Linked DNA regions of Arabidopsis thaliana. The protein of the gene in region 1 interacts with the protein of each later gene in a pairwise test. Each region holds a gene or a part of one and is shown on either strand. Other genes may lie near its edges. The genes, in order: EXO84B and SEC15B.

The links.
Region 2: the proteins of EXO84B (region 1) and SEC15B interact in a two-hybrid assay, tested with the Arabidopsis thaliana proteins (one study listed by BioGRID).

What each region holds. Positions count from the first base shown.
Region 1 is NC_003076.8:20,249,695-20,256,765, forward strand, and holds EXO84B (exocyst complex component 84B), read right to left. Parts: upstream 5,346-7,071; 5' UTR 5,073-5,345; coding exon 4,932-5,072; intron 4,771-4,931; coding exon 4,656-4,770; intron 4,456-4,655; coding exon 4,385-4,455; intron 4,225-4,384; coding exon 4,127-4,224; intron 3,917-4,126; coding exon 2,896-3,916; intron 2,503-2,895; coding exon 1,987-2,502; intron 1,773-1,986; coding exon 1,584-1,772; intron 1,489-1,583; coding exon 1,352-1,488; intron 1,266-1,351; coding exon 1,109-1,265; 3' UTR 792-1,108; downstream 1-791. Other genes in the region: AT5G49840 (ATP-dependent Clp protease), read left to right, coding at 5,549-6,205, 6,283-6,344, 6,432-6,532, 6,637-6,716, 6,930-6,980. UniProt on the Arabidopsis thaliana protein: Component of the exocyst complex involved in the docking of exocytic vesicles with fusion sites on the plasma membrane during regulated or polarized secretion. Involved in polarized cell growth and organ morphogenesis.
Region 2 is NC_003075.7:1,036,552-1,041,798, reverse strand, and holds SEC15B (exocyst complex component sec15B), read right to left. Parts: upstream 3,686-5,247; 5' UTR 3,643-3,685; coding exon 2,659-3,642; intron 2,608-2,658; coding exon 1,228-2,607; 3' UTR 1,201-1,227; exon of another isoform or gene 1,025-1,200; intron 985-1,024; 3' UTR 735-984; downstream 1-734. Other genes in the region: AT4G02360 (transmembrane protein, putative (Protein of unknown function, DUF538)), read right to left, coding at 156-620; AT4G02340 (alpha/beta-Hydrolases superfamily protein), read right to left, coding at 4,396-4,666, 4,767-5,005. UniProt on the Arabidopsis thaliana protein: Component of the exocyst complex involved in the docking of exocytic vesicles with fusion sites on the plasma membrane during regulated or polarized secretion. Involved in polarized cell growth and organ morphogenesis.

The DNA.
Region 1 (7,071 bases):
AAATAAAATATTTTAAGCTACATAATAGAAATAATCTATTGAATAAATTGTTGTGTTTTGCACCCTGATAATTCGATTTTTGTAACGAGGCAAATTTTGTTAATTAAATATCAGATTCAGCTCATAACATGTGAATGGTAAGTAAGCTGAAATCAAAATGTTCAGTAATGTAGTCTGATTGTGCCTCCTCCCACGTGATTATAGACTACTATCACTTGGAATTATCATTGGAAAAGTCATTACCTGAAATCTACCATAGAGCTATCAACATCACATCTTCCTTGCCATGTTTTATACATTCTGAGGCTCCGAATGGTGACTGCGTTTTGCGGTGCGGAAGAAGTGCGGTGCGGTTCAAATAGGAACGAAAATACATAGATACATATGTATATGTAAAGATTTTGATACTGTTACAGCACTGTTGCGATACGGTTTTGGTTACCATTCACAGCCTGAGTATCACCACCTACTTTTGTTTGTCATCTGTCAAAACATGAATCTCAAACATGTAGAGAAGCAAAGGAGGTGTTTGCATCAATGGCGAGGGATGACTCTAGCATCTCTAAGCCTCATTCGCGAATGATTATTGCCTTATCGGGCATGCGTGGCCAAATTACCAAGCCTTTAAGGGTCCATGTGGTAGGTAACCGTCCTTACCCATTATTCAAACTTTTGTACATCCCAAGATCCGACCCACCGTACCAAGAATTAGACTAGGAGTTTACACAACACGATTTACTTAAAACTAATTTACGCTATGAACTACATGATTCGAGTAGGAAATACAAAAAGTGAATCGTAAGATATCTCATTCAAGTTTGCTACATCTGATCCAATACCAAAACAGAAAGAGAGTGTATCATAGAGAAGAAAGATCAACACTCTCTTCAATATTTTAACCCAAAGAATGCATCCATTGAGAGAGAGAGAGGACCAATACAAGAAAACAAACATGTCAACTCAACAACATTTACACGCCCCCAAAATCATCTCATCAACAACTGGAGACTCTACAAAATAGAAAGCTTTTGGAAAAGCAGAGCTGAAAAGAGAAGATCAAAAGTTATTGACCATTCACCTTCTTAACAAATGTAAGATGGGTTTGGTTTCAATAGCTGCCATGAGATCTCGCTGATGAAACAGACTGAGCTGACACTGAAGCAGTCGGACTGTGGACATCCCCGTTGTTGCCCTTTGTCTTGCCACTCAATCTTTCCATCGCATCCACACATATGTCATTGAACCAATCGTCTTCTGGCAGCTCACTGCACATCATTCACAACCACATTTTAATCATTTATACTTACCATAAAGGCTAAAACATTGCAAAACACCCTCAAAACCGATGTACCTATATGGATCTATCCCTGTTGCGGTGAAAGCTGCTAAGGCTTTAGATATTATCTCATTAGTTCCCCTGTGCAAATTCCTCGATAGGTAGCGACCTTGGGATGCAAAGCATATGACAAACTTCATGTCCAAATACAGCTGTGACAGATGCAGGTTGTTTGTTAACAAAGGTACACAACAATTTCGATGCTCGCTGAATATACATATACAGAAGCAAGAATGAGTGTACAAACCTGCCGTAGGCCAAGAGGTCCCAAAGGTCGAGGACCTTCCTCAATGTCATCCCAAAAGCTCTGGTCTCCAGAAAGCCATAAGATCACAGTCTCTGTTAATCGCATCAACAAAGATATGGCGAATCTTTCTCTTCCTACAAACATATCTGCTGCTAGACTTGCCATCCTGTTAAGTTTGGCAAAAAGTTCCTGTTTTCCAACGACGCAACACCCAAAGTATAAGAATATTAAGCTAAAAAAGACAGAAAAAAATCATGTTCTTGAAGTGGACAGTAGACTATGACAAACATGGATTCAACTCTACAGTATCCAATCTGCCGATAAGAGTTCCCAAGTGACTACACATCTGGGTACAGTACTTCATAAAGGCTAACTGGACTGATGGAAATGAAACAACAACTACCTGGAATATCAGAGATGGAAAGAAGTCCACATCCTCGCCATTTTCATCTATGTTTACGTACATATCCGCAGACAGATGGCTATCTCCTTCCTCAGTAAAAATGAGATCCAAGGCATGCTGGCGACAAAACGCATCTTTTAACTTGTCAACAGTACTAAGTAAACGCCTCTTCCATTCTCGTTGTTCAGGATTACGATTTTGTCTGTCCAAAGGTCTCCTTAGGTCGTCTGTCCTCTGACCAGTCTGATCAAGAGAGAGTTTCATGGCAGCACGTGGAAGTAATTCATCCGCTAGCAATGATGCATTTGCGAGTAATGCAAGTTGGTTTGCCTCCGTCTCAGCCATTTGGACAATCTTATTACATGAACTTTCAAAATTTGGATCTTCTTCTTCTATCGAACCAGGAAGTGCTCTTACCAGCACATCTACATATGAGTTAAACACCCGAAACAGACCTTCCAGAGCTTTACTTCCCAATTGCATACTTAGCAGAGGTCCTACGTCCTCAAAGAAGTCCTGCAACAAAATACCATTATCAAAAGGATCTACTTGACAAATACATCCAAAGTTCATGACAGTCCACTTGGGAATCCTCTGCCTATCAGAGCAGCTAAGACAGAATTGGTACTGCCTAGAGTTTATAATAACTTTTCAGTGGGAACGCGAGTGCAAGTTCTAATCAATCGTCATCAACGATGGCTAGTCAATTTTACAGCTGATGTGTAAACTCATATTATAAGCAATTTTCATGGGATACTGGCATATCTAAGAGACACACCAGACGTCTAAGAGTGAAAAATATTTCATTTTTCTAGGCATGTCTGCATTTCCTAAGCACTTTATTTTTCTAGCACAACTTTAGAAAAAGGCTGAAAATTTCGGAGAAAAGTGTTTGTCAAGATAGTCTACCTGGACCATGAGATTAAACCGGTGGGCACTGGATGTAAGCTTATTCTGAAATGCTGTACTAGCATGACGACTACCAGCAGGAGGACTTGTCAGTACCCAATCATCTGCAGCAGCCATAGCTGCAGTGTTTTCTTCAATTCGCTTAAGATTTGCCTCCAATGCCTGTTCCACAATAGGCTTAAAGTGCTTTAAAAGCACTGGGCAAAGGGACAAACCACGAGCTTCCAACAAAGAACAATGCCCAAGAGCTATCTGTGCACACTCTGCGGCAGCTCTTAGTCCTCCCGCTGCTGCAGAAGAAGCTAATGCATGCCTTTTAACAAGAAGGGAAAACGCCTCTGTTTGCTTAGTAGCCCAAGTCACAAGTTCAGAACTATATGCTGGCTCTTTCCCAAAGATTCCCAATGAGTCACTAGAAGCTTGAGAGATAGCTGAGAACACAAGCTGAGAAAGTGCAGCAGTGTACGCCCCTCCATATGAGGTGCTAGAAGGACGAAGACTTTGCATGTTGTATTGATATCTCTGGAAATGGGCATCAAGAAGTACAGTATGGGCTCGAGGACCATCGCCAAGCCTTTTGAGAGCTGCTATGGCTGACCGAAGTTCCCCACCTCGAGTTGAAGGTTGACAAGCAGCCTTGGCAAGTTGGTCAGCTAATTTTTGCTTGCGTTCGGCAATAGCAAACTGAAGAGATGAAAGTACAGAAGAGCTTAAAGTATGCTTTTCGTTTGCTTGAGATACTAAAATTTCTCCCTCATCAAAAGCTGCCAGAGCTTCATCCACCCTTCTTTCAGCTAATAAAGCATCAAGGTGGTCAGGAAATTCCGTAGCCCATTTCTCCAGATCAGAGAGGCCGTTGTCCTCAAAATTCAATAAACCATTCGCAAGAGATTCATCAGAAACTTTATCGTCATCAATGTTAACTCCATCTGCTAAGCCATGGATTAGAGTCGCCTGAGTGGAGAGAAGATTTCTGATAGATGATAGCTCCCCCTCAAGATCTGATATCTCTTTAGATGTGCTGCACAGAACAGAAAAAAGTTTAATTTTCAAAATAACACACCGCCAAGAAAAAACAATAAGGTAGTGCGAGGAAAAAGAAGTCATATGCAAAACGCAAATGCACCAATACCCACAAGAAATGAAATAACTTGAAAAAGTAGAGCTTTATTATCACATCAACTTCAAAGAAAATAACCAAGCACTAAAAACAGACAGGATATCAGCTAACCGTATAAAGGCTGGATAATTAGCATAAACACTTCGCCGCATTTCTTCAGCAGATGCTCTCTTCAAATCCAATAGATACGAGCATAACTGCTTTATATCCTGTGAACCGAACAGAAATATGTCATCATCCCAAAATAACTGAGAAAAAACAAAGAGTCCAGCCAAGTAATCCAACAATCTATGTTAACCAAATCAAACACTACTCTTTTTGTAGTAAACTCTAGAAGGCCTAAACTAACTTTTCCCTCAGCTCTCTCACACCATCACAGAAAGTGACTACACAGACGAGACACCCTTTATACCCAATACCATAACCGAATTGAATCTTTTCTGTAACAGAAAACGAGAACAACAGATTCTGTCTCTGATACAAGACATAGTCATCCATGTATATTCACATGAGCTACATTCTGTATTACACTGAACACATCATTTGGCAAGCTAAAAGCTTATAAATGGGTACTAAACCTATCAGCATTTCTTAAGAGTAACATTTTTACATAATCATAATTCACAAACTGCCTTCAAACTCCAGAAGATCACAAGAACAACCATACAAGCAATGAGTATTGTTACATTGCTCATCATCTTCTCGAGCGTATAAAATCTGCTGCTACCTAATATCCATTCCACAATTACGATTTCCTACAGCTAAAACGAAATGCAACAAAACAAGAACACTGCGATGATACAATCCCAAATCTACGAACAAGTCCCCACAGACTCAGTCCTAGAAAATTCTCACTCGTGATAACAACAAATCAACGAGAATAAGAACACGAAATGATAAAAGAACAGAAAAAAACCTTCTCGTTGATAGAACATTTGGATTGCACATAAGCATCAGCATCGAACTTATCAGACTTGAACAGACTCAATCCTTCCTCGACTCTGACACCATTTTCCTTCGTCGGCGTAGCTTTTGATCTGGCCGTCTTCGCCGCCATCGTTAAACTTGCCTGTCTTCTCAGAGAAAACCTAAAATTTCACAGCGGTTCCAGATCAGCAATCCCAGTGATGCCGGTAATGTTACCGGAGAATTAAGCACAGATCTGAGGGAGCTCCTAGATACGGAGAGCAGATAGAGAAAGTGGGTAGAAGAAGATGATGATCGAGTTGGCAACCAGAGCGATTTAGCCAACGACGGTAGCTTGGCTTTTTCGTCTGCTTAAACAAACGAATTTTCTTGTTGAAAACTAATAAATAAAATAACGACTCTGGGTTTTTTTTACTGGATTTTTTACTAGTAAACGGCAAAACAGAAACCCTCTCATTTGCACGGAGGCTTTCCTTTATCCTTCACCTCTGCCATCACTTGAGCTAAACCGACGCCGTTTTAAAGAATGCTTACTTTAAGATTGCCGTTAATGTAAATCTGAGCAAAAACCTTTGAAGAATCATATCATCGAGACAACAGAGAGAGATGTTTTGTAGCTTATCCATTTCCAGATTTGTCTCGAGGAAGACAATAACATCATCATCTCTTCTCTCTCGCAGTTTCAGATTCCTTCTCTCCGTTGATTCTCCTCCTCACATCCCTCTTCTACGCCCTTCTTCCAACACCCTAATCCCTTCCTCTTCCTTCTCCCGCCGTATTTGGGACTCCTGCAGCGGCGGCGGCGGAGGTGGCGGCGGAGATGATTATGATCACATCAGAAGTGACGTCAATTGTCCTCGTTGCTCTGCTCAGATGCACGTCATCTTCTCAAATCGTCCATTGTCTCTAACAGCAAGAGAACCAGGGATCTATCAAGCTGTTAATTTCTGTTCTCAATGCAAAACAGCTTTTTACTTTAGACCATTCAAGCTCTCTCCTTTACAAGGGAGTTTTATTGAACTCGGGAAAGTTAAAGGAACTGATGATGACCATGATGATGATGATGATGATCAGAAATCTTTCCCTAGGAATTGGAAAATTCAAGGTCTTAGAAGCGATGAAGATGGTGAGGATGCTGATGAGGAGGAGGATGAAAGTAATGGTGGTGATAAAGAGAAGCAATCTGTGATTAAGCTTCCAACTCCTAAGGAAATTTGTCAAGGGCTTGATGAGTTTGTCATTGGTCAAGAGAAGGCTAAGAAGGTTTGGTTTCGGTCCCTAGCTTCTTCTTCTTTGTGTCTAAATTAGATTCTTGTTTACATATCTTTCCTTTTGTGCAGGTTCTTTCTGTGGCTGTTTATAATCATTACAAAAGAATATATCATGCTTCTAGGAAAAAAGGGTTTGTCTTCTTCCATGCTCTTATCATTCTGATACTTTATATGGGATACAACAAAGCTCGATTCTTTTGCTCTTTTTTTAATAACAGGTCTGCTTCAGAATCATATAACATTGATATGGAGGATGATAATATTGATCACGTGGAGTTGGATAAGAGTAATGTGTTGTTGCTTGGTCCTACTGGTTCAGGTGCATATTGTTGCTTGCCATATTGTTTTGGAGAGTATTTGGAGATACTGTTTAGTATGATAATGATCTTGGCCTTTATGTTTCTTGCTTGGTTATAAGAACAGGAAAGACTTTACTGGCAAAAACTTTGGCGCGTATTGTCAATGTGCCATTCGCTATTGCTGATGCGACTTCACTAACTCAGGCAAGTTGTTTCACTTATCCCTCTTAAGGTTTGGGTACTCAGAACATTAGTATGTTGTACATTAGGGAAGCATTAGGCCCACTAGGATGGATGCCTTACAATCCCTCATTTCGAAAAATATTTTGAATGAAGTGATGATGTTTTTCTTGCTTTTTAGAGGAATCTTAACACAAGTCTTGCTCTTAGCATAACTAAACTACTCTTCTTGTCCAGGCAGGTTATGTTGGTGAAGATGTGGAATCAATATTGTACAAACTATATGTGGTATGTCTTACTATCACCTCATATTATGTCTCTGGTTTTACATATTTGTTTATACCTTCATTTGTAATATAATCTTAACAACTGCTTACGA
Region 2 (5,247 bases), on another chromosome or scaffold:
GGAAAGCTCAAATTGACATGAAAGAGAAGGGCTTTTTCGGTAGGAACTAATCATACACATACATTAATCAATTTATTAATTAACTAATCAATACTCATAAGCCAATCATAAGAGAAGGGCATTTTTTATTCAGTACAACACAAGGCCCAACAGATTCAAGAAGAAAATAAAAGCCCATTATTACAATCAAACCCACAACCACACTGAGGACTCTCTTCAAAATTAGCAGCCGGAAAACTCGCCGACGCGATTCCGACGGAGAAGTCGAGATCGGCGCCGTCAAGAGACACTTCAGCAATATTAACCCAGAAGAAAAGAACCTTAACACTAACTCCTTTCAGATTCTTGACATGACCGGGTGATATAACGCCGGAGATAGTTGATTTGTACTTGAGCTGGTAGGATTGGATGGTGAATTCACACGTGTCATTGAAGTAGACTTTGAAGTTGCCTGTTTTTGGGTTAAGCTCATAGTCAACCACTCCTTTTGGGAGGATTCCTGGTGGTAAGTTATAGAGTTTGACGGCGTCGTAAGCGGTTGGCTTTTGGCCGGAGACGGCGAAAGAGACAGTGAAGAATAGAAAGAAGACGATAGAACAAGTATTCGCGTCTAGCGACATGGTTCTTTACTTCTTTAAGTTTTGCTCTTATGATTCGTGTCTAATTTAGCATAAGCTTTGAAGTGTCTCATTAAGTACAGAAGACGAAAACAGTTGTTAGGTGTTTGTGTGTTCTGGACTGTCTGATGAAGAGACCATGCAAATTAGATGTACGGTGACGATTTGATTGACAGAGAGAGCACACGTGTTAATAGGGAAAAACGACGATCACGTGGTAACCAAACCAACCTTGATTGAAATAAAGAAACTCAGCCAAGTTTGCATTCCACTGGACTGATTTTACTATTTCATGATCGTAACTAAAACCGTACTAAGGATCCGATTGATGACTTAATGCGGTAAAAAGCTACGGCATAGTGAAAGGCTGCAGTGACATGAACTTTGCAATTCAAAATCAAACTATTGAACTCATTAACGAAAATGCTATTAATGGAAGAAGAAAAAAAAAAAAAAACAATATTGGGGTGAAATCAGTTTTAGTGTTTTTTTTTTTGCCTTTCTTTTTGAGAGACCAACGAATCATCAACAATGAAATACAAAGCAATCATATAATTAACACAAAGGACGGGATCGTACTTACGTTTTGGGTTTGTGCTGGGATCCATCATCAGCTCACATCTTTCAATCTCTTTATCAACGCATCTAAAGATTTGTTCTTCGGGTTTTGCCTCGACCCTCTTGTTCCAAAAGTCCCGAAAATACTATCTGATGGATCTCTGAATTTCTCTGAAACCGTGGCTACTTTCCGGTAATCCAAAGCATTGTAGCTTCTTTCTCTGATCACCGGGTTTACAAAATTCTCAGGATGACTACTCAGAAGTAAATTGATCATCTGTCTTATCTCGACAAACGCTTTTTTCATCTCTCTTGCTTCTTTATCCGTGAGCAATGGAGTTAGGTTCTCTGTAAACGAGTCCAACAACTGAATATCCACATCAAGTCCTTTGATTGCAGCCATGCTCAATCTTTTTACTAGATCCCCGCATAACGTTCCAACGATTTTCTCAGAAATGTGAGCAAGGACATCACGCAAAACCCTTTTCAAGACTTTAGCGGGTAAGATCTGTTGTGCGGTGGAAACCAAAGTTTCCAAGTAGATCAACACTTCGTTCATGTACTCATTCCCACCTTGTGGTATATCGTCGCTTGTCCAATTGACATTCTCGAGTAATGTCATGAAACCATCTATCTTCTTCTTAAGCATTCCTGAGAGTGTATCTTCTGCAGTGTTTTGAGATTTCGTCAATGGGAAATGCCTCCTACCTCTCTCCGCCATTCTCAAAGGAACTCCTGAAAGATGTGCAGCGTGACGGAAGAAGAAATCGCAAGCTCGTTCAAATACGGCCATGTTTGCTGCAACTTGCATTGCCTGAGAAACTCCATGAACCGACGTGCTAATCAGCTTCAACAGAGCCTCATCGAGAACCTCGCCTAGAAGCCTATCCAGATACTTCTTCACTACATCATAGAAATCAAGCTGACCTCCGTGAGACATGAAACTAACCGAATCCTCGATAAAAGACCTCACAATCCGGCAACAATCTGGGACGGTGGTCGAAAATGGAGCAATGAAAGGGAATGCCGGTACTATTTCTGATGTTTGTAACTGGAAAGAGAGCACATTCATGGAATACTCATATTCTTTCTTCATCAACATCTGCTCAAACTTATCTGCTGATAAAGCTTCTGTGATCTGTTTACGGCAATCAGATAGTAACAACTCATGATACTTGTCCCTGTGCTTGCTTAATACTTCGAGAAGGGAATCAACAGCATAGCCATACCTGCGTAGACTCACCCCCAACAAGCTCACATAATCCTTAATCAGTAAGAGATGATTAGCCGTCTGCATTCTAGAGAACTGATCCTCCAACACAGCACACATCTTAGTAACAGCAGTATCCCACAAAGTCTCCACTTCCAGCTTCGAAATCAACCCTCCTCCAGTCCTTAAAACTCTATCCTCTACTATGAAAAACCCAGCAATCTGTGCGAAAAACGTCTGATGTGACTCGAGAAACGGAGTCATAGTAGATACCTGGAAGTCAGAGGTAAGCTGAAGATCCCTATTGTTATAATAGTACTGCTTAAAAGTATCCCCAAGAGATAGTGTCTGATGAATGTGATAAGCTCTATAAAGTGGTGTCAAATCAAAACCTAGCAATCCACCTCCGGAACTACCACCATCGCTGCCTTCATGGCCAGAACCAAATTCATCATCCTCTTCTTCGTTTAGCGCATAAACGCAATCGCGTAGACTAAGTCTACTCTGCTCCTCCGCTTGTCTCTGCTTGATCCTGAGCTCCTCCTCTCGCTGACGAGCCGCGGAAGCTTCACCAATAGCCAACTGACCTAAATTCCGACTCACCACACGGATCTCAACCAACCAATCTCCAAACTCCTTATTCACTTTCCTCTCCACATAAGATCGAATCGCCGGAATCCTATTCTCAAGCATCCGTTTCAGCGTTGACGAAGGAGTTTTCTCCATGAAATCACTCTCAATCGAGTCCACACATTTCAACGCCATGTAGAAATTACCGCTCTGAAGATGCTGATTAGCTCGAGAGACAAGTTCCATAACACGAACACAATGAGTCACCGCTCCAATCGCCAGATCGACGTTCTTAGACACAGTCTGAGCCTCAACAAGCGAATCGAGAGACGAAAGAAGCGGCGCCGCAACAGATTGGAGTTTAGAGTTTGAATCGGAAAGCGCAGATTTAAGCGATTCAACATCTGAGAGAAGCGATTTAAGATCGTCTACGGCGTGGATAAAGTCTTGATAGTGAGCTTTACATACCTCTTCGATCTCTGATTCCTTAGATCGTGCGAAAAACTTGAGATGGTGAAGAAGAGTCTCTGGTTTCCCTGTACCGAAAGTTTTCCGAACAAATGGTCCTAAATCTTCACCGTTACAAATGGCAGACGATATCAAGAGCTCGTCGAGCTTCTCCGCCGAATCTATACCGGCTCCGGCGGTTGTGGAGCCAACTTTCCGCCGTCCTTTCGACGATTGCATTGTTTTATCTCCGATTAGGTATAAAGCGTTACAGCGAAGAAGAAGGAGGAATTTTGGATTTGGGACAACGAAACTGATTTGGTGGTTTTTTCTTCAAAGGGAGCTCGAATTTTGGGGTTTGACTAAAATGACATTGCTGTAGAAGCGGTGCGACGGAAGAAGACGAGGGTGTGTTTGTCTTTTCAAGCTGCGTAGTGGTTTTTTCTTCTGACTGGCGTCTTCAATTAATTGTGAATATTTGTCAAACTGAGTTTTACGCGTCACAGGCGCGTGGTCGAACGCGCTTTAGATTTTGTTGAAAATATCCACTGCCAAAAAATTAATACACCAATTCTGTTGACAAAAAAAAAACATTGGTATTATATATTTTATTGAATTTATTCAGTTGGTAGGTATAAATGTCCTTAGTAGATTTATAATTTTTGATAAAATTGTACATATATTTCAGTTTTTTGATATTAATTTCACCTAAAAAAAATCATCTATGCTTAATTGAAGTTTTCTAGAAACCATAGGAATTCAACATTTTGAAAATTAATTTGGACATAAGAAAAGTTTAAGGATATATTGAACTGGAGATGGCCAACATTTGAGAAATTATTTGTTCTATTATTATATTTTGCTAAATTATTAAACAAGCACAATACACAGATAGCATCCTTGAAAACATTACATAGTAGGGCTCTAAGACAGTAAGTAACCCTGATCAAGCTTAATCAACCTTGAATTTGACATTGTGCAGACGGAGAACTACTACAAGGATGCGGTTTCGCGGGTTCTGAATTTCTTGAAGAAGCCATAGATATGGTCAGTGACCTCGTCAGGCTTCTCTTGATGGAGGAAGTGACCTACACCTTCCATTACCACCACTTCTTGTAGAAAAGGTACGTGCTTCTTCAAACCACCTTCATGTATGTATTCCTTTGTTCCGGGGATATTGTATGTTATGTCTAGATCACCCACTATGAATTTCACAGGGACTTTGATTTGTAGACCGGTCCATGGAGCTGTTAGTTCCCAGCTTCTGCAGGTTAGGATAAGACCAGATTGATTCAAGTCCAAGATTAACCATGAAAAGATGATTGTATGATGTAGAATAGGTGGCTAGAATTCATAAGACTTACAGGTTCAGGGCGCGATAGTAGTTTAGCCCACCGGTGAAGCCTTTTTGGCTAAACTTGTCTCCGTAGAACCTGACATCTTGTTCGGTGAGCCAAGCGGGCAAAGAAGGTGGATCAGGTAAACCTCTGAAACCAACTGACTTTGGAATGCAAGGTGGACGTGGGTTACGCGAAGTGAAAAATCTGGTTATTAACTTTTTTGTATCAACTTGAGCAAAGTCCTCTTCGATCTCTCCAGGCTCCTGAGAAAAAAGAAACTCAAAATCTTTAGTAGGACCAACTTAAGCAATTGAAGACCACAAGACTGATCCAACTACATTTACTTAAAGCAAGTAACTCAAATAAAGTAAATGACTTTGACTTTGACTGCACTATATTAAAGTAAGCACTAATTGCCTTTTTCTAATCATCAATAGCAACTTGCATTATCAGAGTCAGAGCCTGAGCTAAGTTCAGCTATGTATAGGTAGGTGGCTGGTCTCTG